Linked DNA regions of Lepisosteus oculatus. The protein of the gene in region 3 binds, or shares a complex with, the protein of the main gene of each other region. Links are inferred from orthologs where the notes say so. Each region holds a gene or a part of one and is shown on either strand. Other genes may lie near its edges.

The links.
Region 1: the proteins of thoc6 (region 3) and thoc7 are in contact, whole or in part, in a cryo-EM structure (PDB 7APK), measured with the Homo sapiens proteins. The link is inferred for Lepisosteus oculatus from reciprocal best matches to the Homo sapiens genes THOC6 and THOC7. Residues at the interface, in NP_001334633.1 of Homo sapiens: Asp229, Trp232, His245, Thr252, Gln268, Asp269, Gln284, Leu285, Ser286; in NP_079351.2 of Homo sapiens: Lys110, Arg113, Lys114, Gln117, Glu118, Ala121, Leu122, Val125.
Region 2: thoc6 (region 3) and alyref share a complex: the UniProt entries of both Homo sapiens proteins name them as parts of the transcription/export (TREX) complex. The link is inferred for Lepisosteus oculatus from reciprocal best matches to the Homo sapiens genes THOC6 and ALYREF.
Region 4: the proteins of thoc6 (region 3) and thoc5 are in contact, whole or in part, in a cryo-EM structure (PDB 7APK), measured with the Homo sapiens proteins. The link is inferred for Lepisosteus oculatus from reciprocal best matches to the Homo sapiens genes THOC6 and THOC5. Residues at the interface, in NP_001334633.1 of Homo sapiens: Val5, Pro6, Ala8, Val9, Pro10, Leu11, Gly12, Gln13, Val16, Phe17, Leu20, Gln21, Leu23, His24, Met25, Thr26, Phe28, Tyr45, Tyr80, Asp94, Glu125, Val126, Pro127, Glu128, Asn130, Gly146, Tyr170, His172, Glu188, Trp222; in NP_001002877.1 of Homo sapiens: Pro406, Gly407, Asp538, Ile539, Val540, Asp541, Ala542, Gly543, Leu544, Ser575, Ile576, Ser593, Asp596, Arg599, Glu602, Gly603, Asn606, Val607, Tyr609, Arg660, Phe662, Arg663, Gly664, Pro665, Ser666, Arg667.

What each region holds. Positions count from the first base shown.
Region 1 is NC_090699.1:48,898,258-48,905,664, forward strand, and holds the start of thoc7 (THO complex subunit 7 homolog), read right to left. Parts: upstream 3,010-7,407; 5' UTR 2,806-3,009; coding exon 2,787-2,805; intron 2,609-2,786; coding exon 2,491-2,608; intron 1,208-2,490; coding exon 1,080-1,207; intron 1-1,079. UniProt on the Homo sapiens protein: Component of the THO subcomplex of the TREX complex which is thought to couple mRNA transcription, processing and nuclear export, and which specifically associates with spliced mRNA and not with unspliced pre-mRNA.
Region 2 is NC_090704.1:47,020,573-47,027,496, reverse strand, and holds the start of alyref (THO complex subunit 4), read right to left. Parts: upstream 3,003-6,924; 5' UTR 2,878-3,002; coding exon 2,626-2,877; intron 930-2,625; coding exon 789-929; intron 183-788; coding exon 35-182; intron 1-34. Other genes in the region: anapc11 (anaphase-promoting complex subunit 11), read left to right, coding at 6,639-6,759. UniProt on the Homo sapiens protein: Functions as an mRNA export adapter; component of the transcription/export (TREX) complex which is thought to couple mRNA transcription, processing and nuclear export, and specifically associates with spliced mRNA and not with unspliced pre-mRNA.
Region 3 is NC_090699.1:5,870,967-5,878,672, forward strand, and holds the start of thoc6 (THO complex subunit 6 homolog), read left to right. Parts: upstream 1-4,695; 5' UTR 4,696-4,839; coding exon 4,840-4,854; intron 4,855-6,973; coding exon 6,974-7,065; intron 7,066-7,706. Other genes in the region: srrm2 (serine/arginine repetitive matrix protein 2), read left to right, coding at 1-100, 387-527, 1,982-2,092, 2,630-2,678. UniProt on the Homo sapiens protein: Component of the THO subcomplex of the TREX complex which is thought to couple mRNA transcription, processing and nuclear export, and which specifically associates with spliced mRNA and not with unspliced pre-mRNA.
Region 4 is NC_090717.1:14,292,235-14,300,177, forward strand, and holds the start of thoc5 (THO complex subunit 5 homolog), read right to left. Parts: upstream 3,014-7,943; 5' UTR 2,959-3,013; exon of another isoform or gene 2,875-2,958; intron 2,644-2,874; exon of another isoform or gene 2,620-2,643; intron 1,634-2,619; 5' UTR 1,610-1,633; coding exon 1,517-1,609; intron 857-1,516; coding exon 713-856; intron 355-712; coding exon 241-354; intron 1-240. Other genes in the region: acyl-CoA dehydrogenase family member 11-like, read left to right, coding at 4,268-4,519, 5,526-5,758, 6,552-6,651, 7,344-7,461. UniProt on the Homo sapiens protein: Component of the THO subcomplex of the TREX complex which is thought to couple mRNA transcription, processing and nuclear export, and which specifically associates with spliced mRNA and not with unspliced pre-mRNA.

The DNA.
Region 1 (7,407 bases), about 43 Mb from region 3:
CTGCGAGTCGTCGTGTTGTCGAAAATCTCTGGTCTCAGCATGGGAGAGAGCAAGAGCTCCCTCCCTTCCTGCTCACTAGCCACCGTAATGACTAATCTACTGCGATGTATGAGTGAATAAGTACAGATTGTGCTGCAGACATTTCATCGCAAAATTGTTCCTATGGGATCTCAAAGTCAAGAGTCAATATTCCTATTGGATTAAAAAAACAAGCAAGCTTGTTTACAACATAAAAGGGCCGTACTATGTCACCAGACATTTTGCTAGCTTGTTCTAAATTGCAGAATATGGCACTATGCATACCTGGAAATCTCGTATATTTTGTGACGTAAATTGGAGGTTTTACAAGTTACTGTTTACGTTTTACTTATCTTATGGTTTGAAATGTACTCTTTAATGCTGATTCTTTCTAAACCCAAAACATAAAAATAGCACTGCAGTTCCCCTTTAACTTACACATCTCTATCAAGTGTAGTCTTTGAGAGTTCCTATCCATATTAAAGTGAAGGTATAAATCACCATTTCTAAAGGTTAAGCAAGTAATTTGTGCAATTAACCATATCTGGTCCTTGAGGGCCGGTGTATATCCAGATATTTGTTGCAGCTTCCAGGTGATCTCTAAATTGCTTAATTTAACAAAATGCCTGCCACAGTCTCTCAGTTCAATTGTTTCTCAAGTCTTCATCCAGATGTTTATGGTTATCTACAAAACTTGATGAATTAACGTTTTCAAGAACAAGACTGAGAGACCACAGATACAGATGACGCATAACTATGCGTGGTCTCTTTTATAAAGAAAAGGAGGCCAATTTTCATTACGTTTGCGCCTGCATATATAAAAAGTGATTTAATTCTGTATTTCATTCTGCCTTTTATGAGACAACTTTACTTATATGTACATGTAGCATAAGACATTGGATAAAAGATTAGCTACTTAAATACAAAAATGAACTGAGAAAGCTAACTGCTGCACACAACGAAAAAAAACAACTGTGGCCTAAAAATTTAAGCATAAGCATGCTAGCTGAAACAAACAGCCACAAGGTGTAAAGGACTAGAATAGGACAGATTCAGATTACCTATATCCGTGTATATTTTTTCATAGTTTTCCATCTCCCGGAGGTTCATATCATAAACCAGCAGGGTCTTCCCCATGGAGAATTCACACTGTGCCAGTGTACCTAGCATCCTCTGAAACTGGGTGTACCTAAAAAGAAAGACATTTCACTGTTTCCTGTGTGCACCTTGAAAACAATAGGATATGTTGCCAGCCTGCTTCCTGCTTCAACTGAAGTGCCAGTATGTGATCTAGACAATGAAGTGACCTTTTGTGAAACCACTGACTCATTCTACCAACAGTTCACAAGGTGCTTGTTTCTCCAGAATAAATTGCACTGTCGTGCCACACATTTCAGACATTTCACCTTTAATGTGAACAAAACCTTCCTAACCGCATGCAACAGGCACATATAGTAAGCAAATACATTGTGCTATTTTAGGGGAAAATGCTTTAAAACAAGGGGTTTAATCAATATAAAGAAAATGCCATGATTAAACCTCTCCATTTGGAGTTTTCAGTTTTTGATGAATCTGAAGAAAGTATCTAGGGGTTCTGTATTGTCTTATGCACTACAAGTGCAGCTCTTTTATGTAAATTTAATCACTGAGTAGACTGTATTGCTTTCATTTGAGGCATTTTTCAAAAAAGAAGAAAAGGAAATGCAACTATGTGCACAAATTACACGGTTGAAACAACTGTCCCATTTTCACCACATAGGCATGGCATCAGCTGTTAGCGTCCTGATGTCACTTGCAGCTGCAATGTCAGGTGGTTTCCAGTCCCTGTCTTGCACGAGTGTCTGGTCTCTTTAAAGTACCAGCTCCTGGAGAGCTGCTGTAAAACGGGTCCAATCCAGTCAAATAATGATACGACTGAAGTTAAGAGCACAGCTGGACTGAAAACTCATAGAATTGACCCTCTAGGACCAGGACTGGGAACTCCTAGCACAAGTAAAATGAACAAATAAACAACTACTTCACAGCTGTGTTGTGCTGAGGAGAATCCACATAGATATGTGCTGAAATGCAACCTCACAGTGCAACCCAGGAAGAAAGATACAGTATAAGACAGCAAACACCAGGAAATACCATCAAAACATTATGTAAAAACGTATTTCCACAACCTGTATACAGATAAAGAACCAAGACATATAGTAGACTTATTAATCTGACAAGATACCGCTACGAAGGTAGAATGGGGATGTACCTTGTGCTGGACACAGCAACAGATATACACGCTAAAGATATATGAATTCGGTACGATCAAGACATTAGGAATTTTACTAGCTAAAACAACACAGCTCTACGGTCAGTTTTAAACCCATGACAGAGCTCTCGGGGTTGGCTTCTGAGCAGTTCCCCACGTGTTTGTTTCTGAAGAAGATAAACTACTGGTATATGGATCTGTATTAGAGTCAACGAGTTAGCTACCCTTCCTCCGGGGCTCCAGAATTGCACCACTTGGTAAAGCTTTTCAATAGTACATTGATGCGACGATCGTCACCAGCTCCATCTCCGTCAATCAGAAGTCGTTTCCGGATAACCTCGTCTGGAACGGAGAAAACAAAACAGATTAACTATCCAAAGCCACAGAGGCAGGCGACGCGAAAAGCGAATTCCTAAGTCAATTGCCTGTAATGCCATTGCTACAAAAAAGTTAAAAAAAAACACGTGTGTTCAATAGTGAACATTGAATTATAAAACATTCAGTACTCATAGTAACTTACCATCAGTAACAGCACCCATCACTTCGACAATTTACTTGTTTTCAAATGAAACTTTATTGACTGCAAAAGCTATACCAACCCAATTCACAAAAGAGATAAATAAGCAGTATGCACCCGTCTCCGCCTGTGAGACCGATTGCGTCGCTTTGTCAAGGGGTTGGAAAGACCAAAACGCTTTGCGGTTAAAATCGTTTGTCGTTTCCGTAAATACTTCTTGTTTGTCTGCCATGTTGGCTCAAGTTTCCTGTATTTTCGTATGCCAACGCCGAGGCTTGCTCAGAGCCACAATGGCATCAGTTGCGTAGGCCTCTTGGAGGTGCTGAAGCCTCGCTAAGCGCCGACGTGCAAAGCGTGCGGAAAGAGTGACGTATGTCTCCCAGAATGCAGCCTGGTAAACAGACATGGAAGCCCCGGGTAAAGACCTCCACAGTCAGTGAGCACTGTGTTCGCTCTTTATTCGCCATTCTCACCGCTCAAATTTAGCTACATTTAACAGACTGACATCCCGAAGGAGCTTTTGTATCTTTTTAAAAAAGTCCCGGAAGCAGGTAAACACGGATAAGGTTTATTTCTCTGTCTGCAGTCTGCTAGTGTTCTTGTTTTTCTTAAATGACAATGAGAAACAATTTAGGTAGCAATTTACACAAACCACCAGTAGCCCGGTGCTAAGATTGTTTAATGTGGCTATTCGAGTATTTGTAGGAGCTTTGTTCATAATAATGGAAGAAATTGAAAGTAACAAGTTCTTAATCCTTTTCAATACACAGTAAGATCGTCCAGTAAATTAGAATTGTTGTTTTATGCGGAATACTCCTCGTTAAATTAAGTTAAACGCTGAAAACTTGAAACTGTGCAATATGTTTTATGTTTTAAGATTAAACATAGTTTTTCTTGCAGGTCTGATTTTTGCTGTAATGTCCTGAATGAAGCTATAGATGTGCATCGTTTGTTTTCTTCGTGCTTTGCGACTTTTCGTAGAAAGTAGTAATGATTGTTTTACTCTTAGAAGTATTCGGTGAGTTTTGGAAACTGCTGAAGGAAACAGTGGAAAAGCTGGCACTTATTTACCCAGTATTTGTAAAATGCTACATTATATGTGGTAGGTAAAATAGTTACTACAAGCTCTGCAACAAATTATTTATCTTCCGTTATATTCCGCGTAGATCTTTGTTCTCGTAGTTAGTGAGAATTTAGATGAGTTTGGCAATGCTGAAACTCTTAGTTTTTTCAATAATCTATGAAAACTTTAAGAAGGAGATTATTTTCTCTTGATGATTAACGTTTTAATGTAAAACGCAGATATTTCTTGGCGGGGGTTTATGTAATCTCTTCAGTGGGACAGCCTGTCATAGAAAGTGGGCATAGAAATACAAGTATTCCCTTTATCAATTCAAAAATGCTAATACATGAGCCTGTTGTTGAAGGTTCAAGCAGACATACTTAATCTAAATAGCAAAAGAAAGTAGAAACATTAGCTTAAGGTTTTATTTTAAAATATTAGCAAGAACGTATGGGTTTTATAGTAAGGAAACTGACTCTCAAGACCATGCTACCTAGCTTGCTGCTTTCCTGCATTGGGCTATTCCATGTTGAATAAATCAAATTCACTGAAGTTTGTGTTCACATGTTTTTAGTGTAGTGGAAGTGTGAAGTCAGGTTTGTAACAAGGTCAAATAAGGTTAAATTGTCGCATCTTAGTTTGTTAGATTGTGAGCTCATCTTTCAGTTTTCAGCCAAACAGTGACTTAAAATTTAGGAACTGACAACTGGATATATTTTTTACATTTGGACATCATAGCTACATGAAATGGTGAAGTTATAATTATTTTTCAGTTCTACAGAAGATGTATCTAGCCAGACAAGTGATTTTAGAAGCTTATGTATAGATATATGTATTCTAAATTTTTAAGGCAAAAATGTTTAGATATTCAAAATCTCTCCAAGGCTATACTGTATGTATTGTAAGTATGGCTGTGCTCTTTCACAAGAAAAGTGTTCCAGTAGATGTTCATCAATATGCTTAAATTCATCCATTCTCTAACCTCTTCTTCCAATTCAGGGTCGCAGGGGATTCGATCCTGGCAAGCAGCAGGAAAAAGGCAAGATACACCCTGGACAGGACACCAGTCCAGTGCAGAGCATACACAAACACACTCCCAATAGTGCAAATTTTCTCAGAAGCCAGTTAACTTACCAGTATATTTGTTAACTGTGGGAGGAAACCAGAGCACTCAGAGGTAACCTATGTGAATATGGGGTGAACATACAAATTCCACACAGATAGCACCCCAGGTCAGGAATTGAAACCAGGTTCCCTGTACTGTGAGTTTGGTATAGTTTATGTTTGCTTGTTCACGCTGGATTTCTCAGATAAAAGGTATTTCTACAAACCTACCACTGCGTCATGTCGTCCACATGAGCTAAAAGATTTGGTCTAAATATTCAACCTCTGTCTTCTACTACACAAATATTAGTGAAATTAAAATCATGACTTGGGAAGGTCTGATTGACTTGACACAGAATGACGCAGCTCCAGTTGTTAATTAAATGCTTGCATTTGTCTTGCACTTTCTTTTTTATTCCCAAGGATTTCAAAGGATCTCAGATATAGGAGAAGCCCCACTTCTTGCACTGAAGTGCATCATCCACCAGTGTGTCATGTGGAAGCATTTTTGTGCTGGCAGCCTCACAACAGAGAATTTTAGGTAAAGAGGTGAAAAATTACTTCACCTTTTTAATTGAAGGGGAAATGTAGGTAGACCACATTGTGAATGCACAAAGCAGATTTTAACTAGGGCACCAAGTTTAAAAATCCTATTAACAAAGTTTGGGATATTTAACTTAAGTACTCAAGACCTCAGTGTGATGTCTTATCCAACGGAATACACCTCCTGCAGCATAATGTTACCGCACTGGGGTATTGGTTTAACATTTGCCTACTGGTGTAATAGCATCACTTATTGTTCACACAGCCTGGCTCTATCCAGCACTGCCTGGGCCCAGCCTTGCTTAGCTTTTGAGGTTGACGAAAGCAGGCTACAATGTGATAAAGATTCTGAGTGATTCTGTGACATTGTCAGGTTTATTTTTTACACTTTTTGGTGTTTCTGCTGAAATGTGATCCCTGAAATAATTGTGATTGCATTTATATCAAATAAATCATAAATTGACCATTTACAACTACATTTTATTAGGGAAATCCAGTTTGAAAAAGCAAACAAACTACACCAAACTGCAGATCAGAACATTATGGTAATGAATGATAATTGTTAGTTCCAAAATCTCTTCATAATGCTACTGAGAATCTCAAAAATCAGGCTTTTCAGTCTTTGGCTAGTTTTAGAAACAAGGCTGGGTTAAGGTTCAGCAGACTAGGCACATGCCTAGGGCCACAATATTTAGGCCCAAATTAACTTTAATTTCACCTTGTTACATACCTGACCTCACTCTTCCACTACACTAAACACATGTGAGCACAAACTTCAGTGAATTTGATTTATTTGACATGGAATGGCCCAATACAAGAAAGCATATGTGCTAATTATTCAGTTTTCATTTATTGATAAAATGGTGGTATAATGGTAAGCATTGGTTCCTTGCAGTGCTGGAGCCCAGGGTTTGATTCCAGACCTGGGGTGCTGTCTGCATGGAGTTTGTATGTTCTCATGGTGTCCTTGTGAGTTTCCTCTCACAGCCTAAAGTAATACTGCTGGGCTAATTGGCTTCTGGGAAACTTGGCCCTGGTAAGAATGCCTGCGTGTCTGTGTGTTTGTCTGTCTGCTTTATGATGGACTGGTGTCCTGTCCAGGGTGTACCCTGCCTTAAGCCCGTTGCTTACTGGAATATGCTTCAGCTTCCCCATGACCCTGAATCTGAAGAAGTGGGTAGAAAGTGGATGGATTATTCAGAAATCACCCTAGATTTGATTTTCTATGTCATGAGATCTGTTTAGTAATTTAATTATCCATACATTCTGTTACTTTAGCTATTGCTCCTAGGTACAAAGAAACTGTAAAGATGTATTGGCTACATTTGCTCGCTTTGGCCTACCACTTAAAAATGTCTGAGCACTGAGGCACAAAAACAAAGAAGTCTGTAACTCACTGATTAAATTAATTACAAAGCATTTTCTATTGAAAGACTTTATATCATCTGTGACTGCCTAATAATTGAACTGCAGTCAGACTTACAAAGAATTAGAGTACAAAATTGGATTTCTGCAGTTTATTTCTTTGAATATTTGCGATGTTTATGTAGATATAGAAATTGTAAAACAAAACTTCTGTGTTCTGAAAAGCAAAGGCATCAGCAGTGAACATGTACCAGCTAGGCCTGAGGGACACATGTGGACACTTGCCTTTGTATGCACACAGTCTCTAGCTGTTAGCACTCTCTAGCTGTTCTGGAGCTGTTCTTTTTATTTGATGAAACTTGTGAATAATTGCCTCCAATCAATGGTGAAAGGAGGAAAACTAAATGTATGTACATTGTTAGCAATTTAGAACAGTTTTACAGTGTCCTCATATTTTGATGGAAGTTATTGATAAGTTTACCAGCAGAAAAGGAAGAAGAAAGGTATTTTAAAAATGAGTGATGGTAATGCTTGTAATCTAACCATTGA
Region 2 (6,924 bases), on a different chromosome or scaffold from region 3:
ATTCCAAAATGAGGACAACAGGGGACAGACTCACCATCCAGTGGAACGCCATTATACTGCTTCATGGCCTTGAGCGCATCGGCCTTCCTCTCGAAGTGCACGTCCGCCGTGCCCAGGCTGCGACCCGACCGGTCATAATGCACCGCAGCCTTCTTCAGCGTGCCAAACTCCGCGAACAGCTCCTGGAACACAGGGCACCATCAGGTCTGTGCGCTCGCCAACAAGCCCAACCCACCCACCACACGAGAGGCGCGCAGGCTCAACTCCACCCTGCTACCCCATGGGCACAACAGCTGTAGGCTAATGATAGACACAGGAAAAGGCACCGATCTAGCTTCTCAAAAGCAAACCAAAAGGCTAGGAGCAGGTGTCTTAATCTGTATGCTAGCACTCTCACTGCAACAGGAACACCTGCCTCTGGAAATCACACCGAAGCCTGCGGGTGAGAGCCTGGACCCCCCCCTCATGGAAATGTGCTTCACCTTGGAAAAGGGTCACCTCAGCAACTGCAGGTTATGAACCCAGCACAGTTCAATCACTGGCACAATAGGACCAGTGTAACTTCTGTGACCCCTTGAGGTTGGGGGGCTCTGAACAAACCCTCCAGGACCAGGACTGCACACCCCTGCCTCGGAGCTGTTGAGTGAAAGGGCTACAGTGCTGTGTTTCTCCTGAATGAGAGGCGAGACCCAGTTTAGGAACTGCAGTTATCCCAGAGCCACATGCAGCCACTACGCGAGCTACACGCAGTCCAAACCAGGACACCCCCGCGCAGAGTCAGCACTCACCTGGATATCTGCATCCGAGACCCCGAAGTCCAGGTTGGAGACGAGGAGCTTGCCTCCGGTCTCCACGCCGGCGCCGCCGCCGCCCGCGCCGAAGCCACTGTCGAACAGGTCGTGCTGCCACTTGTCCGGGAGCTGCTTGGGCTGCAAGAGAGCAAACAGAACGCACCTGCTGACTTCCCAGTCGGCACGCTGCGCCAGGCCGCCAGGACCCCGCTCTCCGAGAGGAAGGCCAGCAGACACCCCACAGCTAACGCCGGCTCCCGAGAGGAACAGCAGCCAGAGGAACCCAGTCGCACCACCGTGGCCCACACCAGGAGGGGAGCCCGGTCAGGCAGCAATCTGGGCTGGTTCCGCCTGCCCCACCAGGAAAGCCCCCAAGACCAGACAGGAGCACCAGCTGGCCGCAGACAACTTGCCTCCGGGAGCTGATCCAAATAAAAGTATCACTGTGAACCCCCCCCAAAGGTCAAACACTAGGTGCACCCCCCAAAAGAGAAGCCACATAACCCCCCCCAACAGAGCCTTGTGGGTAAAATGAACATTCTGCTCAAGAAATGCATTCAATGCTGTTTAAAACCTAACGAGGCAGCTACACTAGACTCAGGAGCAATGGCTGAAACTGCGCTACCCTGGAGAAACGGGAAGGTTACAGTGCAGGTGCGCACTGATCACAGCTTTAAAAGGGAACAAGGCCGGAAAAGGCACCAGCACACCGGAGGTGCTCGCCGTCGGCTCAGCGCCGGGTCCTACCCCTTCACTGCCCCCTTGCCAATCCGACCTCCCGCCTCTGAAACCGAGTGTCCCGGTAACCCGCCCGCCGGGGGCAGGTCCCAGCCCGCCGCCGCCCCGGCCGAGGGTCCCTCAGACTCCAGCCGCAGGTGTTGAAAAGGGGGCCAATCCGTGCAGCGGCGCCTCTCCACCCCCCTCGCCGAGCCTGTCCTCCGCCTGCGGTCCTGAGGCCCGGAGAGTCCGCCGCCCCGCCGCAGGATCAAGTCCGTGGATCCCCCGCGATCGTGTTTCTGCAGAAAGGCGGCTCTCTAGTGGAACAGAGTCCCCGTGTGGAAGAGTCGCCGCAGGGCAGCTGCAGCTGCGGTCCGAGGCCTCGGAGCCCTGCCTGCAGAGAGCGTCCATTTTGTAGCTGCGCCATTTTGTCTTGATCAGCTAAGCGGAGACCCCTTGCGGGTGCACGGCCACCGCAGTGTAGTCGGCGGCTAACTCCGGCCGATCAGTGTCCTTCCACAGCCTCCCCCGCCTCTGCCAGCGCTGCTCGGCGGGGGGCTGGAGCCCGGAGCTCCGGGGGGCCGCCTCCTGGCCGGACAGCCCGGCCGGGCGCACACAAAGCCGGCTCATTCATTCCGCAGCGCTCCGCTCCCTCCTCCGCCGCCGCCGGCCTCCCGTCCTCGCCGGCGGCTGCACCGCGTCTTCGTGGCCGTTAAAAATGGCGTTTTGCTCTTTCTAGACACTCGAACAAATTTAGACTTGAGCTCTCCGCTCCCGGGCGGCATAGCAGCCCGAAAAAAAAAAACCAAACATGTCTCCTGATAACGCCCGCTTTTCAACTAGGTTAAACACGAAAGGTTAAAGAGGTTGGGGGAGAAAGGAAAACATTAGGCATTTTAATTATTTTCTTCCTTAAAAAGGAAAGTGAATCGGGTAAATTGGACATCTAGCAATAAATATAGCCATTTTTGTTTCTCCAGAGACACTCCAGTGAGTAACAGCTCTATTAGCACGTTAGGATATTAAACGCACAAGCTCCGCAGACCCGGGCATTTTCGGGCGCCACGCTTTTCCATTTTTCCTCTTTCTCTCTCCCCATCTCTTTCTTTTCTCCTACCCTGCTGTACGGCGTGGGTCTGCTTCTGCCTCTGCTCAGGCTCTGTCGGGTCCGCACGGGGCCTGCTCCGCCGCGACCCCCAAAGCCGCCGCCGCCGCCTCCGCCACCGAGCCGGCCGGCCCCGGCGCCTCGGCCCCCGCCGGGCGCTCCCCGGCCCCGGCCTCCCCTGCCGCCACGGGCCCCGCCACCGCCCCGCTGCTGCCGGTTCTGTTTGATGATGTCGTCCAAGGACATATCCATCTTATCGACCATTTCGAGTCGCCGAACTAAGCCTATCAATAGAGACAAACGAACTCGCACGCACTATCCCTACTCTGCAACTCGCCCCCGCTGATACCCGAGCACGAAGTGGTGAGGAGAAAACACAATGGCCGCCTTTTAAGACGCTGCGGCTGGCGTCGGACACAGACGTCATGCAGGGCGGGGTTGACGCCTGCGCACTCAGTGGAATGGCTTAGCCTGCTGGGAGCTGTAGTTTTCGGAGTCTGTACTGTATGTGCTGTATTCCCTGTTAGAGACCGGCAGCGCTCCAGTCCATAACGGACATATTTAAAAAAAACAAGACAATATTAGCAGTGTTCACAGGTGGTTGCAATGCAATACAACACATACTTTGGACGAGATGTAAAACCGAGGTCCTGACTCTCTGTGGTCATTAAAAATCCAAGGGCATTTCTTGAAAAGAGTAGGGGTGTAACCCCGGCGTCCTGGCCAAATTTCCCATTGGCCCTTACCAATCATGGCCCCCTAATAATCCCCATCTGTGAATTGGCCTCATTACACTGTTCTCCTCCCCACTGAGAGCTGGTGTGTGGTGAGCGTTCTGGAGCACTATGGCTGCCGTCGCATCATCCAGGTGGGGCTGCACACTGGTGCTGGTGGAGGGGAGTCCCCATTACCTCTTAAGTGCTTTGAGTGGAGTGTCCAGAAAAGCACTATATTATTAATTATTATTATTATTATTAGTGCGAGAGAGGGCTGAGAGTGAGGGAGGCTGACAGAGACAGGACTGCTGCAGTGGAGGATACAATAATAAGGTACACTGGAATAATCCGCAAGCAGCAAATGAAGTTAAAAGAACACAGACATGGCAATTACTCCAAACACAGCCATCAAACTCAGTACATTGACACAATTAAGTGACTGAGAGGCGTTTGACCCTATTCATGCTTAGGAGATGTGGAATATTTCGTCAGAGCGTCTCGGTCCCCCTGGCGCCCATCAGTATCTGCTCTAGGCAGAATGCTCTCTAGTCCAGAGAGCAACAAGCTGCAGATCACTCTGCTGGGGCACACAGCACACTCCTGCTGCTGCCTGCCACATTCCTCCGCAGTTCAGAAAATACAATATTGAGACTCCACAGTGGAAAACTCAGCCTGCTTCGTCCTCACTTTGAGCACGGGCATCATAACGGACTTATGTTTACTCAAAAACATCAATTAGGACTCTTTAAAATAAGTTATTATATTTACTCAATTCTATCTCTTTTCAAATGTCCAACAAAAGCTCAGTATTTCATACATGTCGCTGTTTCACATGATAAGGATTTGTTTTGTAATCTGTGCTCTGTGGTGTGATCCCAAGAGCTGTATCTTCTCTCTGTGTCTTGTTCGCCTGTTGACCTGTGTTGTGATGTGTTGTGATGTGTGGCGATGTGTTGTCCTGTGTTGAGATGTGTTATGATGTGTGGTGATGTGTTGTCCTGTGTTGTGATATGTTGTCGAGTGTTGCTCTGTGTTGTGTGTGTTGTCCTGTGTTGTGATGTGTGGTGATACGGTGTCTTGTATTGTGTGTGTTGTGTGTGTGGTGATGTGGTGTCCTGTGTTGTGATGTGTGTTCCTGTGTTGTGATGTGTGGTGATGCGGTGTGTTGTGTGTGTTGTGATGTATTGTGTGTGTGTTGTGTGTGGTGATGTGGCGTCCTGTGTTGTGATGTGTTGTGTGTATGTCGCTACAAAAGGGCACAAAGGCCAGTTAGACTGTAAGAACAGTAACAAGCTGTGGAGGAGCCCATCTAGTGCGTCTGGTAGTTAATTGATCCAGTTTGTTTTTTTTAAGAAACCAGGGCATCAGCGTGTTCCACACTCCCACCATCCCTTCAGGAAAGAAGAGGAGGTGGGAGAAGTCTGCGCATCACAGAGACCCACTACAGAGGCTTGTGGCAACGGCACAGGGTATCACAGGATGTGACTGACCATCAATCGGTGGGATTCACACCGTCTGCTGTCACAGTGAAGCCCAATCCCTCATCCAGGATCCCACCCATCCCGGCCCCTGCGCTCTGGCCAGCGGTGCCGCTGCTAAAGCAAGGACCACTAGACTCAGGAACAGCTTCTATCCCACTGCAGTGTGCATCCTCAACAGCAGCTCACTGCAGGGCCTCAGACTCAATGCACTTATCTGCACTTTCTGCATGGTCTACCATGTTTTTTTCCACTACTACATATTTATTGTTCTCCATAACATATTTATTGTTCCTGTTGTTATTATTTATTATGTGTGTGATGTACTGCCTGCATTGTGTGGTAGGTGTACATCTAGGTAGGTGGTGTTGTCTGTTGTACTGTGTATGTCCTGAATGACCACCACGAATATAAACTCCTCCACTACTACTACTCTACTAGCAGTGGCTGCTGGTCTCTGTTTTACTTCCAATTGGACTTCAAATTAGCTTCCACTCCTGCCGCTGTCTCGTGTTTCACTGTAAACGTCACGCCAGGCCTCCAGGCGGCGGTATTCCGACGACAAGCTTTTTAAATGTGGTCAAAGTCGCGTTAGACGATCGCAGAGTTGAGGATCAACGGAAAGAGTTGCGGTCTGTTCAGGCCTGATCAATTGAGAGGGGTTACGGGAGTCGTGCAGGTACTGTGCGGTGTTCAGTTTTTAACTATTCTCTCATTTGATATAGCTGCCTAGCGGACGCTTTTGCCTGAGATGATGTGCGTAACATAGTCAAGTCTGAACAGTGAAGTTTCTTGTGTTATTGGACAGTTAAGATACACTGTGTAGCAGACGGAGCGGTCTAAATAATAATGTGTCGCCCCGACCAGTTCATCCGTTCGCAGGGACAGAAGTGGACGGCGCTTCTGCACTAGGAGAGCGGGCTGAGGGGCTCCGTCGCCCCCGAGGTCGGAAAGGAGCTCAGGGCCGGAGCCAGGTCCCGCTTCGGTTCTCCGGGCAGCTTCTGCAACTGAGCTCGATCTCACTTTGACAGAAGCCAAACGGCCATTTCTTGAGACACGTGACAACAACATCGGTCAGACGTTTAGAGTAACGTCTGTTAATTAGTCATTAATGTTAGTGTTTCGTTATTGTGTCCGCAGGGCAGATTTAACGCCGCGGTTTCTGATGAAGGGGTGAAGAGTGAGGCGTATTCACAGTATGTCCCGTTCACAAGCCGATGCTGAATTTAATATACTTTCTACAGGCGTAGGCTGCAGAGGAAATGCTTTAAAGTCTATCATTGTAAACTCAGCTTTAAAATCCCTTCCTGTGCCAGGTCACATATATCCTAGCTACAGTACGTGCTGTCTAATTAGATTAACTGGGTAAGCTTTATTTTGTGCTGTTTAGCCTTTGTCACAGCGTCGTTCCTATCCTTCTGGTGAGGTGCTAGTCGTTAGCATGTGCTGAGATTTGAGCTCACAAGCGAGACCTGTGGATGGAGCTTTACAGTCGGCTGCCCCACCTGCACTGAAGCAGCAGGGAAACCGGAGACTTTCACTGCACAGCCTGCAGATCCACTACAGGTGTTAGGAGCTGCAGGCTCTCGTCTCTGGATCTTCCAGGGATAGATTGGCACAAAATTAATGTGATCTTGCCTTTCTGGTTCATGGGCAGTGCAATTTGTAGTAGTGCAGCTCTTTAAAGCTCTGCTGTGTGAGGGAGCAGAGCAGCCCAGCTAACCTGCACAGTGCAGCAGCCTGTGGAGCCATCTGCTTCTGCAGCAGGACAGCTGTTGAGCTGTAGTGCCCACCCAGCTGTAGTGGTGCCTTGTGTCCTGCAGAGAGCGCCATGGAGCGGGGGCTGAAGGTGAAGATAAAGCAGTGGAATGGCGTCGCCTCCTGGCTGTGGGTCGCCAATGACGAGAACTGTGGCATCTGCAGGATGTCCTTCAACGGCTGCTGCCCTGACTGTGAGTCCGGCCGGCGGGGAGGGGGGGTGTGCGAATTCAAGGCTCTGTAAGGGGAGGGGGATGGCCAGGACTGTGGAGCAGTGGATTGTGGGCCCACGTCCCGCGTTCGCGTCAAGCGCAGGGAAGTGTGCTTGAGCCTGAGCAGCAGGGGGCGCTCTGCTCACG
Region 3 (7,706 bases):
AGGACAGTTCATCATCTTCGTCATCTTCCTCCTCGTCATCCTCCTCCTCCTCCTCTTCTTCATCCGACAGCTCTGACTCCGAGACAGAGGACAAAAGAGGGTGAGAAATTTGTCCTTTCCATTTCTCTCTCTCTCAATCTGTGGTGCATTTCTGTCTCGCACTACTTTTCCTCTGCTGTGAAGGCAGTTTCACCATTTCTTTTTTCTACAGTTCTGGGCGAAATTCAAAGTATTACCAGCTTGAAAACCGATTGAATTTATATTGCAGGCAGCTCTGCTCGATGTGTGGCTATTCAGGACCCTCGCCCGGTGTTGTAAAATATGATGTAAGGCTGGTGAAAATACCTGCCGTCTCACTTCTGCCCTCCCCCCCCCCCTCCCCCCAGGTCCGAGGGCGAAGCGGCCAACCAGAAGAAGGCAGGGAAGGCCTCGGGCTCCTCCTCTTCCTCCTCCGACTCCTCCTCCTCCTCCTCCGACTCATCCTCCTCCGGGAGCGAGGACTCTCCCGCTGCAGACTCTGCGAAGTGGTAATGAGCAGGAGCAGGGGGGTGTCTGTTACTGCCAGTGTCGAACCAGTAGTGTTTCTGCCCAGGAGCACTGTCATTTGAGAAAATGTGTGCTCTATATCATTTTTTGCATCTTTTGAATTATGACAAAAAATACTTGCAATCAACACACGGCGAGCGAAACTTTGTTCCTGTGGCGGTTTATTGAAATATACAGGCTCTTTATTGCGTGTATCGTTAATATCCGTATAAAATTTTCTTCAACATCCAAAGCACATACTCCACCCATCGTAAGCAGTTGACCTTGTACTGCCCCGATATTGATATCTTGATTTTGATCAATTGATATTCTTGATTTTTGGAGTCCCGTGTAGTAGTTCTTTCTGCTTTTTATTGTCTGTGCTTTCCTTCCTTACTGAGGGGAGAGTCCGGTGTTGGGTTTTTCAGACAGAATCCCTCTTCAGTGGGTTTTTGTCCGTGCAATCCGACGCCTGTTAAAAGAGGGGGTTTCCTGCCGGTATCATTTGGAGAGAGAGCGTCCGAGTGCCCTCAGACCAGCTCCGCCGTCTTCTCGCTGGCCTGGCACTAGGGCTGGGCAATACATATCGAAAACGTATCGATACCGATGTTAAGAATCTCTCGCCGACCTTATTTTGCTTATGTCGGGATGAAAGCTTTCCCCACTGTGCGGTTTTCATCAGCGGTCCCCAGTCGTCAGATCCAGTCACAGGCTTCTGCCTTGTCCAACCCGCGTTCTTCATTCAAAACCCAAAGCAGCGAGCCGGGCGTGAGACGACGGGAGCGCTCGTGCTGAACCCCCGTCGGGCAGGGAGGACTCGAGCACGAAGGAAGACGAGCTGGTAGCTCAGACAGATGCAGTGTCGATCGTTAGGTCGTGTGTTGGCTTCAGCGAACCGGATGCCGAACAGAGAGAAGTCGGATGTGAGCTCTTGTCGGGAGAACCGTTTCTGCGCCCACAAGTAACACGAGCAACTGGTTTCATCGCTTTAAACGCAGCCATGTCGTGGGATACGAATACGGCGCATGGCCAAAAAACGAGAGAGACTGTCAAGCGCACTCATGGCCGAAGGGATTCCTCTCTTAACACGAGCGTTTACTCATGCCACTCGATGCGCGAAAGATTCACGCAGGCGTGACGCGATAACGAACGCCATTACACACTGCACAGCGAAGGACATGCTTCCCATAGCTGCAGTGGTTTGAAAGACTCGTTCAAGCCCCCGATGCGTAGAGATGCGTTGTGCCCTCGAGAACACATTTTTCTCAAACTGTGGTGCCTGACGTTTACTAAGTTTCATAGTTTCGCATATTTAAAATGGGGTCTTCCAGCATATCATATCGTATTTCAAGGGTTTCAGGAAAAATGCTCGTTCCATTTATCGTTATCGGGGTAACTGTGGGAAATTATCGCGATATGGATTTGTTCACGGTGGTTCTCTCCCTCTCTCCCCCAGTCCTCCCCGGCCCAGGGAGCCGGCCGATTCCCTGCGGGACTCCCGCTCTCCCAGCTACTCCCCGCCGCTCCGACAGCGCAGGCCGGCGCCGTCCTCACCCCCCCCTCACAGGTGAGCGACCCGGTCCCGCAGGGGGCCCTCGGGGGGGACACAAACACGCTCTCGCCGGCGCTGGACTGTGGCCGGGCCCGCTCGGGGCCTCCTGGCGATGGGCTGTTTCTGCGTGCGTCCGGATCAGTCGGATGTGGTGACTCGGACACGTCTGGGGTCGCTCCGTTCCGGCAGGGTGGGAGAAGCGTGCCTTTGTGGCCCCTGGCCTGGGGGGAGGGGGGGGTGGTATCGTAGGCCCCCGTAAACCCCGCAGCTGCACCTTTCCTTTAGCGCTGGGGGTGGAGGTAGGGGAGAGCGTACCCCTCGCTCGGTGTGAGGGGCAGCCGCCTGGACAAGCGGATCTTCTCCCGTCATGCCGGGGGGAGGCACAGAAGCAGCCCGGGCTTGGCGGGACAGAGTCCGGGCCCCAGCGTGTGCTTGTCAGCCAGGGCTGTCCTGTTGTGTGTGCGTCTGCAGGATGAACCCTGACTCTCTCTCTCTCTCTCTCTCTCTCTCTCTCTCTCTCTCTCTCTCTCTCTCTCTCCTGTCTGCCCGCAGGGGTCAGAGGTCAGACAGCCGGTCACCCAGCAAGAAACGCAGGAAATAAGGTGCCGGGCGGGAAGGTAAGCAATTCCTGTGGTTGGCCAGGCGGAGTCCCACTCGGAAAGCGTTTTTTTCCCCGGTTCTCGCCAGTCGTACCCCTGGCAGGAGGGCCGTTCCGATCGGAAAGGGGGCGCACCGTCCCCACGTCTTCTCACCGAGCCGTGAGATGAGCGGGGGAGGAGGGGGGAGGACAGCGCGGGAGACTGGCCTGTCGGGTTTGACCAGAGCCTTTTCTTTCTTGTTCGCAGGTGTCGACACCCGGACTCCCTCTCCCAACTCCCCCCCGCCCCCCCCAACTCTGTGGTGGTACAGCCCAGGACCTAGTCTGCAAGATGCTCGTGGGCCGTCCCACTCTGGGTTGCTCGGGGGGGGGGGGAGGCGAGGGGAGTGGTACAAGGACACTGTTCCAAGATGGAGGACTGAGATGCTGACACTGGAGTTTGGGAAAGACGACGAAAGGAAGAGAAGAGCGAGAGAGAGAGAGACCCACCAGGAGGAGAGGCCGATATCCGATTGTGACTTTTGTGCTGTTTTTGGAGGACGGAAATGGTTCCCTTTTCGTTTTGTTTGTTCTGGGGAAGGTGGAGAGAGCGCGGTGTGCAGGCGGCGTTGACGCGGGCTTCGGATGTGCGTGCCCACGCCGTACTGGGTCTTGATCTGTGAATTATTTTTGGGGGGGAGGGGGGGCGCAGGGCAAGATGACACTGTTTGTGAATACAAAACATTCTTTAAAAGCTGTTTTTTTTGTGAAATAATAAAATCAAAAAAGAAAAAAAAATCCGGCAGTTCTTTGGAGTTTTCTGTTTCTGGCGTGTGTGTGTTTTCAGTCTTGTTACACCAGGAGGACAGCTGGTCCGGTGGTTCTGGTCCAGTCCTGTTACACCAGGAGGACAGCTGGTCCGGTGGTTCTGGTCCAGTCCTGTTACACCAGGAGGACAGCTGGTCCGGTGGTTCTGGTCCAGTCTTGTTACAGTGGAAGGACCGCTGGTCCGGTGGTTCAGGTCCAGTCTTCTAGTCCAGGAGGACAGCTGGTCCAGTGGTTCAGGTCCAGTCTTGTTACAGTGGAAGGACAGCTGGTCCGGTTTTGGACCCGTCTTTTTACAGTGGGAGGACAGCTAGTCCAGTGGTTCTGGTCCAGTCTTGTTACACCAGGAGGACAGCTGGTCCAGTGGTTCAGGTCCAGTCTTTTTAGACCAGGAGGACAGCTGGTCCAGTGGTTCAGGTCCAGTCTTTTTAGACCAGGAGGACAGCTGGTCCAGTGGTTCTGGTCCAGTCTTGTTAGACCAGAAGGACAGCTGGTCCGGTGGTTCTGGTCCAGTCTTGTTACAGTGGGAGGACAGCTGGTCCGGTGGTTCTGGTCCAGTCTTGTTACACCGGGAGGACAGCTGGTCCGGTGGTTTAGATTCAGTGGTTCAGAAGCACAAATGGGTTTGTACAGTATGTATATCTACAGAGCATACGAATCAGTTATGTTAATGGATGTATGTTTTTAAAAACAACAGCAACTAAAGAGATAGAGAGGAGAACATTTTGTAGTTTATTAATCCCAGGATCTGAACTATGTCTCGAGAGAAGCCAGGATATTGGCTTCAACAATATAACTGGGTAGCTTTTTCCACTCTCCCACCCCCCTTTGTGTAAAAAAAAGTATTGAAATTGACAGACAATAACCAAAAACATTTGTGTCAATTGATCATTACAGATTCATCACCTCAGCATTACGAATCTTGGAGATCCTGTATCATGGAAAATGTCAAATAAAGATACATCACCAGATCACATCTATATCGTTATATAAACAAAATGAATTCATGCACCTATATCCTGTCTGTTCAAAAAATGTGACTGCGCCAACCGCAACAAGGGTTGTGCCAATCTCTTGCAGCTACAGGGAGAGTAGTTTCTTATCCTGTGCATGCATGCGTGTTTTTTTTTGTTAGCGGAAAGGGAACAACGGTCGCGTTTCAAAGCCGTGAAACTACAATTCCCGTCATGCCACGAAAGCGGGGGGGGGGGTCCTGTGACGTCACTGCCCTGCGCCGCCCGTGTCCCTTTCCGAGAGGGAGAGTGTTGGGCTGTGCAGACCTGGGGCTGACGAGTCTGGCTTGTGTGCAAGTTTCACTTTTCTCGCCAGATTGGACGCCGCGTCTAAAACAAGAGGAAACATGGGACCGGTCGAGGTGATGGCCCGTCCTTTTCGTGTCTCTGTGTGTATGAAGCGCGCTCTCACGTTGCGTGTGTCGCAGGATTTCGGGGGTGCCTTTGTGTAAAAGCCCCGGGGGATGTAGCACAGGACATTTTCAGTTCTAGAAAAAAATATTTCCAGTATGTAATCCGGTCTCTGGGGCTTTTACACAAACAGGGGTTACTGTCTGAGCCTTTGTGTTCAGAAGTAACGGCGCGACAGCAGCCGGGGGCTCCGAGCTGGAGGTGCCGTGTTTTATCCGAGTTTCTGTTTTCCACCCGTGTCTCCGGACATAAATCCACAGCCTCTCCCCAAAACACCAACACACAGCCCCGTTGATGGAGGGTGGTCGACTTCTAGGGTCGTGACAAACCCCACGGGAGAGTGTCCCGTGTTTTATAACCCACAGTGTGGCAGCTCCCCTCTGAACGTGTCCACGGTGTAGCGCCCTTCTCTTTCCTCTTTTCTTACTGTGGTCCACAACGTTAATAGTCAGATTAGACCAGAGCACTCCTGTGCTCTTCCTGACTTTATTTCAGTCCTGATCCAGGAGGAACACTGTGTCTCCTGGTCTTCACTCCAGCCTGGGCTCTTACTGACTTTTACTGCTAAGGTCAAACAGACTGCTGAAGTCAAACTCCCCTATTACACTACCTCTTTTGCTGGTTTCAGTCTTGAATTTGGGTTTGTGAAGTCTGGTGTTCCTCAGGGCTCGATACTGGGTCCCCTCCTCTTCAGCATTTACCTGTTCCCACTTGGTCAGCTATTGAGATCACACGGTGTAAACAATCACTGGTACGCCGATGATGCATAAATCTGTATCCATGATAAACCTGGCACTGAAGTGACTGTCTCTGTACTGTCTAATTGCATCTCTGACATAACATCCTGGATTTTCTTAATTGAAACAGTGACAGACCTGTAGTCATGCTTCTCTGCACCTCCCTTCAACAGTGTACTGTGCAGCCAGTGCAGTGACCCTAACTGCAGGAAGGCCCTTGAATTTGTGCGCTGGAATTTCAGTCTAAACCGGAGAACGTGGTGGTGATATTTGATCCAGGCTTGGCGTTTGACCCACACGTGCAACATATTGTAAAACAAATCTCATTCTTCCACCAAGTATTGCCAGGCTACGGTCCAATGTTCCTGATAACTGTTGCTGAAAACTTGGCCAGGACTTTTTTTTATGTTTCTTTCAAATTGATCACTGCAACGCCTTCCTTGCTGGGGTATCTAAACCCACACTGAACAGACTCCAGTCTGTTCAGAATTCGACAGGCCAGATCCTGTCCAGGTCTAGTGCAAGTGATCCCATTACTCCTGTCCTGGAGTCCCTGCACTGGCTTCCTATCGGGTTTCGTGTCCATCTCAAAATCCCCATGCTCACCTTTGAGGCTCTGCATGGCTTGGCACCTCAGTAGCTGTCCGACTTATTTTCCTGCTCGCCACCTCACAACCAGACCATTTGCTCGTCTAACTCTGGTCTCCTGTCCTCAAGCTTGTCTGTTATTGAGAGGGGCTCACTGTCTGTTCCCACAGTCTGCAGATGACAGGGCCTTCTCGAAGCAGATTATTCTTATCTTTATTATATTGTCACAATGTTGTGTGATGTTTTGGTGTTATACTGTGTCATTGTGCATTGTTGTGACACAGGGTTGTGTTGATGTGTTGAGTTACACTGTCATTGTGCTGTGCTGTGACACAGGGTTGTGTTGTTGTGTTGCGTCACACCGTGTCTTTCAGCTGTGTTGTGATACAGGGTTCTGTTGGATCACACTGTGTCTTTCAGCTGTGTTGTGATACAGGGTTGTGTTGATGTGCCGAGTTACATTGTAATGGTGCTGTTACACAGGGGTGTTTTTGAGCAGTGTTGTGACAGAGGGCTGTGTTGCTGTGTTGTGTTACACTGTCATTGTGCTGTGTTGCATCACACTGTGTTTTTGAGCAGTGTTGTGACACAGGGCTGTGTTGCTGTGTTGTGTTACACTGTCATTGTGCTGTGTTGTGTCACACTGTGTTTTTGAGCAGTGTTGTGACACAGGGCTGTGTTGCTGTGTTGTGTTACACTGTCATTGTGCTGTGCTGTGACCCAGGGTTGTGTTGTTGTGTTGCAGCTCCTGCACATGTCCGTCTTCTCTCAGAGCTTCTCGCCTTGCAGTCGGTTCCTCGCGGCTGGAAACAACTACGGCGAGATCGCCATCTTCAGGTGAGACAGGGAACTGCGGTGCCCTCTGCTCCCGCTGTCTCCTAGTCTCTGCTCCTCTCACTAACCTGACCTGCTCCCACTGTGTCTCCTAGTCTCTGCTCCTCTCTCACAAACCCCTCTCGCTCCCACTGTGTCTCCTAGTCTCTGCTCCTCTCTCACAAACCCCTCTCGCTCCCGCTGTGTCTCCTAGTCTCTGTTCCTCTCTCGCTAACCTGACCCACTCCCGCTGTGTCTCCTAGTCTCTGCGCCTCTCAATACCTGACCTGCTCCCACTGTCTCCTAGTCTCTGCGCCTCTCACTAACCTGACCTGCGCCCACTGTGTCTCCTAGTCTCTGCGCCTCTCACTAACCTGACCTGCTCCCACTGTGTCTCCTAGTCTCTGCGCCTCTCACTAACCTGTCCCGCTCCCACTGTGTCTCCTAGTCTCTGCTCCTCTCTCGCTAACCCCTCTCTCTCCTGCTGTGTCTCCTAGTCTCTGCGCCTCTCGCTAACCTGACCTGCTCCCACTGTGTCTCCTAGTCTCTGCGCCTCTCACTAACCTGACCTGCTCCCACTGTGTCTCCTAGTCTCTGCTCCTCTCACTAACCTGACCTGCTCCCACTGTGTCTCCTAGTCTCTGCGCCTCTCGCTAACCCCCCAT
Region 4 (7,943 bases), on a different chromosome or scaffold from region 3:
GACTGGAGATGACCAAGTCAATCAAGCAATGTCTTAGGGAAAATAAATGTTCTTGGCAACCTAGGAAAAGAATTGTTTGCACTTCCGTTAGCTTATTAATCAATCAAGTTTAACACTTTCTGATTTTTTTTACTTGACCTCCTATTAAGTTCAAGTGATCATATCTTCCAATCAATTTGAGTGACTGCGGTCAGGAAAAGCCCTGTCACCCCCAAGAACAGGAACGTAAGGCAGCCGCACCTCGTGGGTCTGATCCCTGGCTTTCTTCAGCCTCATGTGAGCCAGCCGGTTCAGCTTCTTCAGGGTCATGAAGTGGATGCACCCCATCATGCGCTTCTCTTCAATCTCTGCCGACTGCAAGACACAGGAGGAAAAGAAACAAATAGAAAATCAGCTCTTGTGGCTGTCAACAGCAGCTCCTGCCACTTCCTGCCTGGACGCATTGCGTAAGAGGGAACAGAGTAGGGAGGCCCAAAGTGTGATGCTTGGAAGCTGCAATTCTGAAGACTTTGCTTTCCACCACAATACCCCAGCATTGCAGAATTCAGCCCCGGCCAACTCCTGCTGCCACGCAGGTGGATCAATTAAGGCAGCAGCTCCCAGCCCTCTCCTGGGTGCCCACTGTCTCTTCTGGGGTTTGCAACACTCCTGCACTTCATCACAGACGAATCGCTCAAAGTGTCAGAGTGTGAGATGTCGCACTATGGCTCACATTGTCCTTGCTGCCACTGGTCTTCAGCTCGTTGATCTCAGCCATGAGTTTGGCCAGGTCCTGACAGGTCTGCTTGTACAGAGTGTAGTCCTGGTTGGTATCCCTGCTCTCCAGCTCCACCTCCTCATTGTACACTCTCACGTCCTGCAGCACAGCAAAATAACCAGCGATTAGGGCTCACGTGGAGAGTCGTAGGTTCAGGCCCCTGTGGCAGAAACCCCCCCCGGAAAAAGTAAGCAAGGCGCAACCTGATTACTCCAGTTCACTCAGCTGTTGTAAATGGGACTGAGTGGTTCAAGGCCGCTGACCCCATAAGAGACCATGGTAGGTCATGCGATTTATGGCTCACACCCACAATCACAGCCCAGCCTGCCGGCTGAGCCCTTCAGGAGGCACAGAGGGTGATTTGTACCACCGATAGTGCTCTTATGATCACAACTGTAAGTAATGCTTCAAAATAAAGACCCCAGCTGAAGCAGGAAGGACACACTAATGGGCAGGCACTCCTGGGATCAAAATGGCAGACTACATGCTACAGTGGGACACCACACTGTTGACCTAGTACAGGAAAGTCATATTGTAGCAAGATGCTCATTATAGCAGGGTTGCCTTTCTTGCACTGTAGCTGTAAAATCTATGATCAGACAATCTCAATCAATCCGCTGGTGTGTTCTCAGTCTCAGTGCCAAGTCCTTCTCTGACTGCTGATACAGCCCAGCCTGCTGGCCCAGAAGGCAGACTGCCATCTACTGCATCATGAGTGCCACTGCCATTTGATTCGACAGTTCCAGTAGCGACCCTCACCTGGTCCCCCTCTCCCCTATTGCGTTTTGATTCTGGGGTACCCTCATTGCGGATCACTTTGGGCTTCCTCTTCTTCAGGGTGTCGGCCGACATTTGCAGGCGATTCTAGGAGCGCTCCTGGTGAGAGGGTAGAAGAGGGGGTCAGCAAGGTATATGTAATGGACTGGCCGTAAGTCCCAGCTGAAGTAAGATGACCACAAAACTGAAAGCTCAGGCTTTATCTTACGAGGAACCTACACACACCTGCTACAGGACACTGCTGCGGTCACCTGCAGGGGAGGTCCTGACTACTTGATCATTAAAGAATCAATGGGACTGTTCAGAAGAGTAATGAAGGCTTCGCTCTTAATTTAACTGAACTCATTTCTCTCCCTCTAGTAGCAATGGGGCTACAAGCACATACTGTAGCGTAACTGGCTACTACACTTCAAAGGTCACAAAGTGGATCCCCATCTATAGCAAAATGGTTTCAATTCCTTTGAGTTAAATAAAACTATCCAATAAGTAATTTTTTGGCCTGAGATTTTTTAATTACTGACTTTAACAATTTAGTTAATGGCATGTATTAAGTCTTAAGCAGCCTGTTATTGTAAGACCTAAGGAATGTCTACAGAAATCCGATCCTTATTGGCTACAGTTACTTATCCTTCTTTAAGACACGTTAACAGCATGCTTAGCTAATTCAATTCACCAATTCCAGGCAAGTTCTTACAGGAAGAGCAGATGGAATTGTGCTGTTAAAACGCAAAGACGGCAGAAAGAGGTACACAGGAGGTCTCAAGCTGCACATATAAAAATCAACAGTGAGGACGATATAAGAGCAAGTGCCCTGTATCTTTCACTAGTTTAACACATTCCCAGTTGGTTTCAGAGTCCTGAACGTGCGAACTAGTGACCATTGTGAACATAGTTATAAAGAAAAAGTACAAATGGATTTAACAAGGACTTCAAAATATATATATTAGAAACGAGTTAAGCTTCGGTAGCTCACAGTACTGACATGTACAAACAACGGGACATCAAAGTAAAAATAAAAGGAGTATCGTTATAACTGATTTTGTTAATACTGCTAAAATCGCATCCACGACAGTTCACATAATCACCCGAGATGATCACCGTCTTGGCTTTCTGTTTTCAGGAACAACGCACATAACAACTCGCAAACATAAATTAATCTGCAAGTCGTTTTATAGATTTTATCTCCTGGGCAGGGAGTGTAAACAAGGTACAAAGGCTCTTCCTTAGCAGCAGCGATCAATTAAAATGCTTCGACTCACAAGTTACAATACGCGTACAGAAGAAAAAGCCGTTTGCTTATCGCAGACTTCAAACAGCCATACATCAATGCACCCACCAACCTTATTCACAAATTCGGCAACGAAAGGCTCTGTATTTTTTAAACAACTAAAAATAACATTTCATTCACTAAACACAACACTTACCCTAAACTCCCCCCCAAAAAAACATGGAGGACTTTAACTTTGACCTCTGACCCGGATGGGGATCCCGGGGCAGCGCAGTTACCTTTCCGGCCGAGAGGGGGCGGAAGAGAGAGATCAACAACATCAAGGCGTAGGTAGAGTTTACTTGAAAGGTAATGTGTGGTAAGTTTATTAACAACAGAATTTATACACGTGCTGTCAGTCTCATTCCCTTTTAGGAACACATTAGTAATAAAGTGAAGATAACTTTGCAATCGGAGTAAACCGAACTTTTAATCTACTTCTTGTATTCCTCTATAGTTCAAAGTACAGTTAGGGTTTAAATATGTTTTGCTCATTATATTTTAAATAATGCAGGGAACTTGAAATGGAGGCGAATAAACTGTCGTGAATTATCTTTTAGAAAAAGCACACGTAAATTTCATTTAATTATAGACCAACGTGCCGAGCTTGATAATGTAGAAAGAATGTGTTTTTTTTCTTACATACGCTGGCGAAATAATTAAAAATGATTGTAAATCTCAAGACAGCCAATAATAACATTATTATCCTTCGTTTTTGGATAGCCACTGATCCCTATTAAGCCCCAGGTCCGTGAAGTTGCCTCCCCACACACACGCACAAACGATGAAACCCACCGCATTCCTTAAAGAACGCAAGGAGAATCTTGTTGTTTTTTTCTGATTTATAAAATGAAAGAGCTACGAAGTATTGAGATGTACTAGTTAAAGGCTTTTTTAAAGAATATGCAGTTGCTCGCTAATGTTCGCTTTTTAAGGCTACACCTGCAACTCTTGAGGGTATGATATTGAAGACAAATTAAATTTTTCTGTTCACACAAACGCACAGAAGATACTGGTGTTAATGCAAAATCTACCGCTCCCCAACCGGGCAAACAGAAACACAATTGCAGAATTGTTACTCTCGCACCAGTAACAGCGCTTGAACTCGGCAGACGGGGTCACTGGAGGTCAAAGTCACCGTGCATGGTCACTTGATCACCCGAAAAACAAGGCGCTATATTTTGGGAACGAAAGCAGCACAAATGCAGCACTAATGAATGTTTCATCGATGTTTCATCGTTTGTGCTGTTTGTTGGGAGGGCAACTTAACGGAGCTGAAAAAGCTGAGTCTATCCTGCTGTAGTGACATGCAATAAGCACTCGTAAATAAACATCAGCACCCTTTACTGTGAATTAACGAAGACGGATGACAACAGGTTCTCAGAAGACAGCTCAGTATGCTTCCTCACATTCACTTCACAAGCAGGGGCAAGCGACTGGCAGGTCGTTTGTGCTGCAGGTGCCTGATGGCCGCGCGTGTCCTGAGGCTGGCCCTGGCTGGGCGGCCAGCGGCAGGGGCCTGGAGCCGCAGGGCGAGCAGAGGGAGCTCGCACCTCACCGCTCCGCGGGGCCGCACAGAGGCTCCGCAGGAGGAGGAGCGGCCTCACTTCTCCAGGTCCTCCATCGGGAGCTTCTTCCAGGAGAGGCCCCAGCTCAGGAACCCCTTTCTGCAGGACGCTCTGCTCCAGGGCTACCTGAGAAGACACCTCCCTGCTCAGGTGGGCCTGGTTTTACTTCTCCTTGACCACTTTATAGGCATAGACAGGAGAAAACCCTTATCCACAGACTTTCAAGACACCAGTCGACTGGTACTTCTGCTGCCTGTCTGACCTCATACACAGCCTGGCTCGAAACGTCTTTTCTCAAAACCTTGATGAGCTGTTAACATTCTGCTCCTCAAAGAAGTCGGTGGCAACGTCATTTTATTGCTGCTTAATAGATACCTGTACGTATTCTGGTATGTGCACTCACCTTATTTGACTTTTAAGACTTCATTGTGAGGTGACAAATTAGATATAGTGCAAAACGAAATCTGATCAGATGTCGTTAAAAATGTAACGAAGAAATAATTTTTGGAAGTAGACCCATATAGGAATGCAGTGTTATTGTTTTCCATGCCACTCGTGGTCTGTGAAACTACTCCAATCTCAATATGGAAGCTGGTTTGGATTAGCTTATGATATGCTTATGTTAAAACTGTCATGCTTGCTCCCACCGGAGCACGACAGGACGCGCTAGGATCAACACAGCAACCGACGGAGCCTCAACAAGACCTGTCAATCAGGCGATTGCCGTGACTACGAGCTCTGGTTAAAAATCTGTTCCACCCGTCTGTAGTTAATGACCACACTGCCCTCACTGGGATCTGTCAATATTAGACCAGTCTCTCTGCGCTCAGTCTTAGAGTTTCAGTTATTAGTTTTGGCATTCTCAGCTCTGCTTATACTTTCAGGTTTTTGGCATCTCTTGACTTTAATTTTGCTTTCGGATTCCCCTTATGCTTTGCCTCTTTATCTCTCAGCTACAACCTTACGTTCTAGACTGTTTATTTCTGCCTGCATGCTCATTATGCCACCCTGCTCTGCCTGCTTGCTGTCCACGCCAGCCTGCCTGCTCTGCCTGCTTTCGGGTTCTCCTGATGCCCCTGGGACACTACTTTCACTCAGGTAGGAATAGCGGCATTACAAGAACAGAATGGGCATGTGTAGTGTATGTGCGTTCCAGGCTGTGAGCGCGGTCGGGGCAGATCTGGAGCGGTTTGGGGAACGGATCTGCAGTGAAGTGGACGCTCTGGGCCGGCAGTGTGAGGAGACCCCCCCCCGCCTGCAACACTGTGATGCCTGGGGTCGGCGAGTTGATCGCATCCTCACCTGCCCCGCCTGGGGCCGCATGAAGGAGATCTCGGCCCAGGAGGGGCTGGTGGCTGCTGGCTACGAGAGGACTTTCCGTGACTGGAGGTAGGGTGACACACACATCTGGTGGTTTCTTGTGCCTGAGTTTTGGAATGGGCATTTGTTAGTTCTCCTCATATGGAGACTCCTAGCACAGTAGAAGGAAAGAAAATATGCAATCACAAATTCTAGTGTCAGGATCTCCTTCTCTGTTCCTGCTGTAAGTTCACAGCATAAACAGCAGGATCCGTTGCAACCCTGAACTGGATGACACAGTTAGCAAATAATAACCCTGTGATTTACAGTATGATCTTGTATTAATCATATGAAACAAAATTACACAGGTAATTAAATGCTTCTATCTTAATGCTAAGATTGTTAGGAATAAAATACAAGACATTGAAGCAACTCCATTGCTAATATCTCTTGTAATTTTGCATGCAATTAGAATGCAATTGGCATCACTGAAACAGCTAACGGAGACTGATGTTGATGAATATAACACTAGTGGATACATATCATTCTGAAGAGAACAGTGGAAAATTACTCACCACAGATTATACACCACAAAATATTTGTGGACCTCACGGAAACATTGCTTCTCGGAAATCATACAGTGCAGTGTCCAGATGTGTTACTACAAGGAAGTGAATTTAAAACTAAGAACAGGATGCAGTTTTTGACTGAGCAGTTTGTGGGAGTCTGGAACAAGTTATCCAGCATGTTATGAAAGATGATACTGAGCAGTCTTTCACAAAACAGCATTTTCAAGTAGACGAATTGAAGGCCTAAAATGTATATCCTGTATTACAAAAGTAGTGTCAAATTAGGTGGATGATACTGGTGTATATTTCCTTAGCCGTGTTTACCAGATGTCCAAACTATACCTCTGCTCTCCCTCTGCTGGACTCTACACCTGTCCTCTGGCTATGACTGATGGGGCAGCTAAAGTCATTGAGGTCAGTGAACTGCATCCTGTATCGTTTACGCTGAGGTGCCGACATCTTTGCAAACCCACAGGGGCTGCACCCCTTATAAAAAAGGTGACATAGCAAGTTCACATATAGTAATTCTGTATCAAGGTAATAATAATAATTTTTCTGGACACTGCACTCAAAGCACTTTACAGGTAATAGGGATCCCCTCCACCACCAGTGTGCAGCCCCACCTGGATGATGTGACAGCAGCCATAGTGCACCAGTACACTCCCCACACACCAGCTGTCAGTGCGGAGGAGAGCAGAGTGATGCAGCCAGTTCAGAGATGGGGACTATTAGGAGACCATGGCCAGGGGAGAACTTTGGCCAGGACACTGGGGTTAACACCTCTACTCTTTACAAGAAATACCTTGGGATTTTTAATGACCACAGAGAGTCAGGATCTCGGTTTTACATTTAATCCGAAATACGGCACCTTTTATTACAGTATAGTTGCCCCCCTATATTAGGGATTTAAGACCAACACAGACAGCAGGGTGAGCGCCCCCTACTGGCCAACACTGACACCTCTTCCAGCAGCAACCTCAGCTTTCCCAGGCGTCTCCCATCCAGGTACTGATCAGGCTCACACCTGCTGAGCTCCAGCAGTTGCCAGTTGTGAGTTGCAGGGTGGTATCGCTGCTGCGGACCAATCTGCTGCGTTTATCCTCCAGTCCCTGGGGAAGTCTGGACCCCTGGACAAAGCCTTCCAGCGGCTCACCTCTCGCGACCCTCAGCAGTTCTGGACCTCTGGCCAGTGGATGACAGAGCGGAAGGGGGGCTCTGACGTGGGTAAGGACCACTGACGCACTGTGCTTGACAGCTGCTGCACAGCTGGATGCTGACTGTGGTTTCTAAGCTGCTTTGCCTCCGGAGATGTACAGGTGGTCCAACGACGGCAATGTTCCTCCTGCAGTTACAGAGTAACAGAGATGGGCTTACCTGTGACGCATAGAAGATATTTGGCAATGTCATCATAGCGCCTTTTAAAGGGAAGATTCTGAAATGAAAATATGTTGGGGAATCCTTTCATTTTAGTTTTAAACAGATAAGCCAGGAACACAAACCACATTTATATTACTTACAGTGAAACTTCACTGAAAAATGCGGCGTTCATAATTTGCAAGACGTATCTTGCTCAAGGCTGCAACTGCTGTGTCCCATCTGGGATCTGGACATGTGACCTTCCAGCCCAGAGTATTGACCTCACCAAGAAGGCTAGTTGTAAGAGTAGGATTTAATTTGCCTTAGAGAATTTCTCTCTGCATCATGTA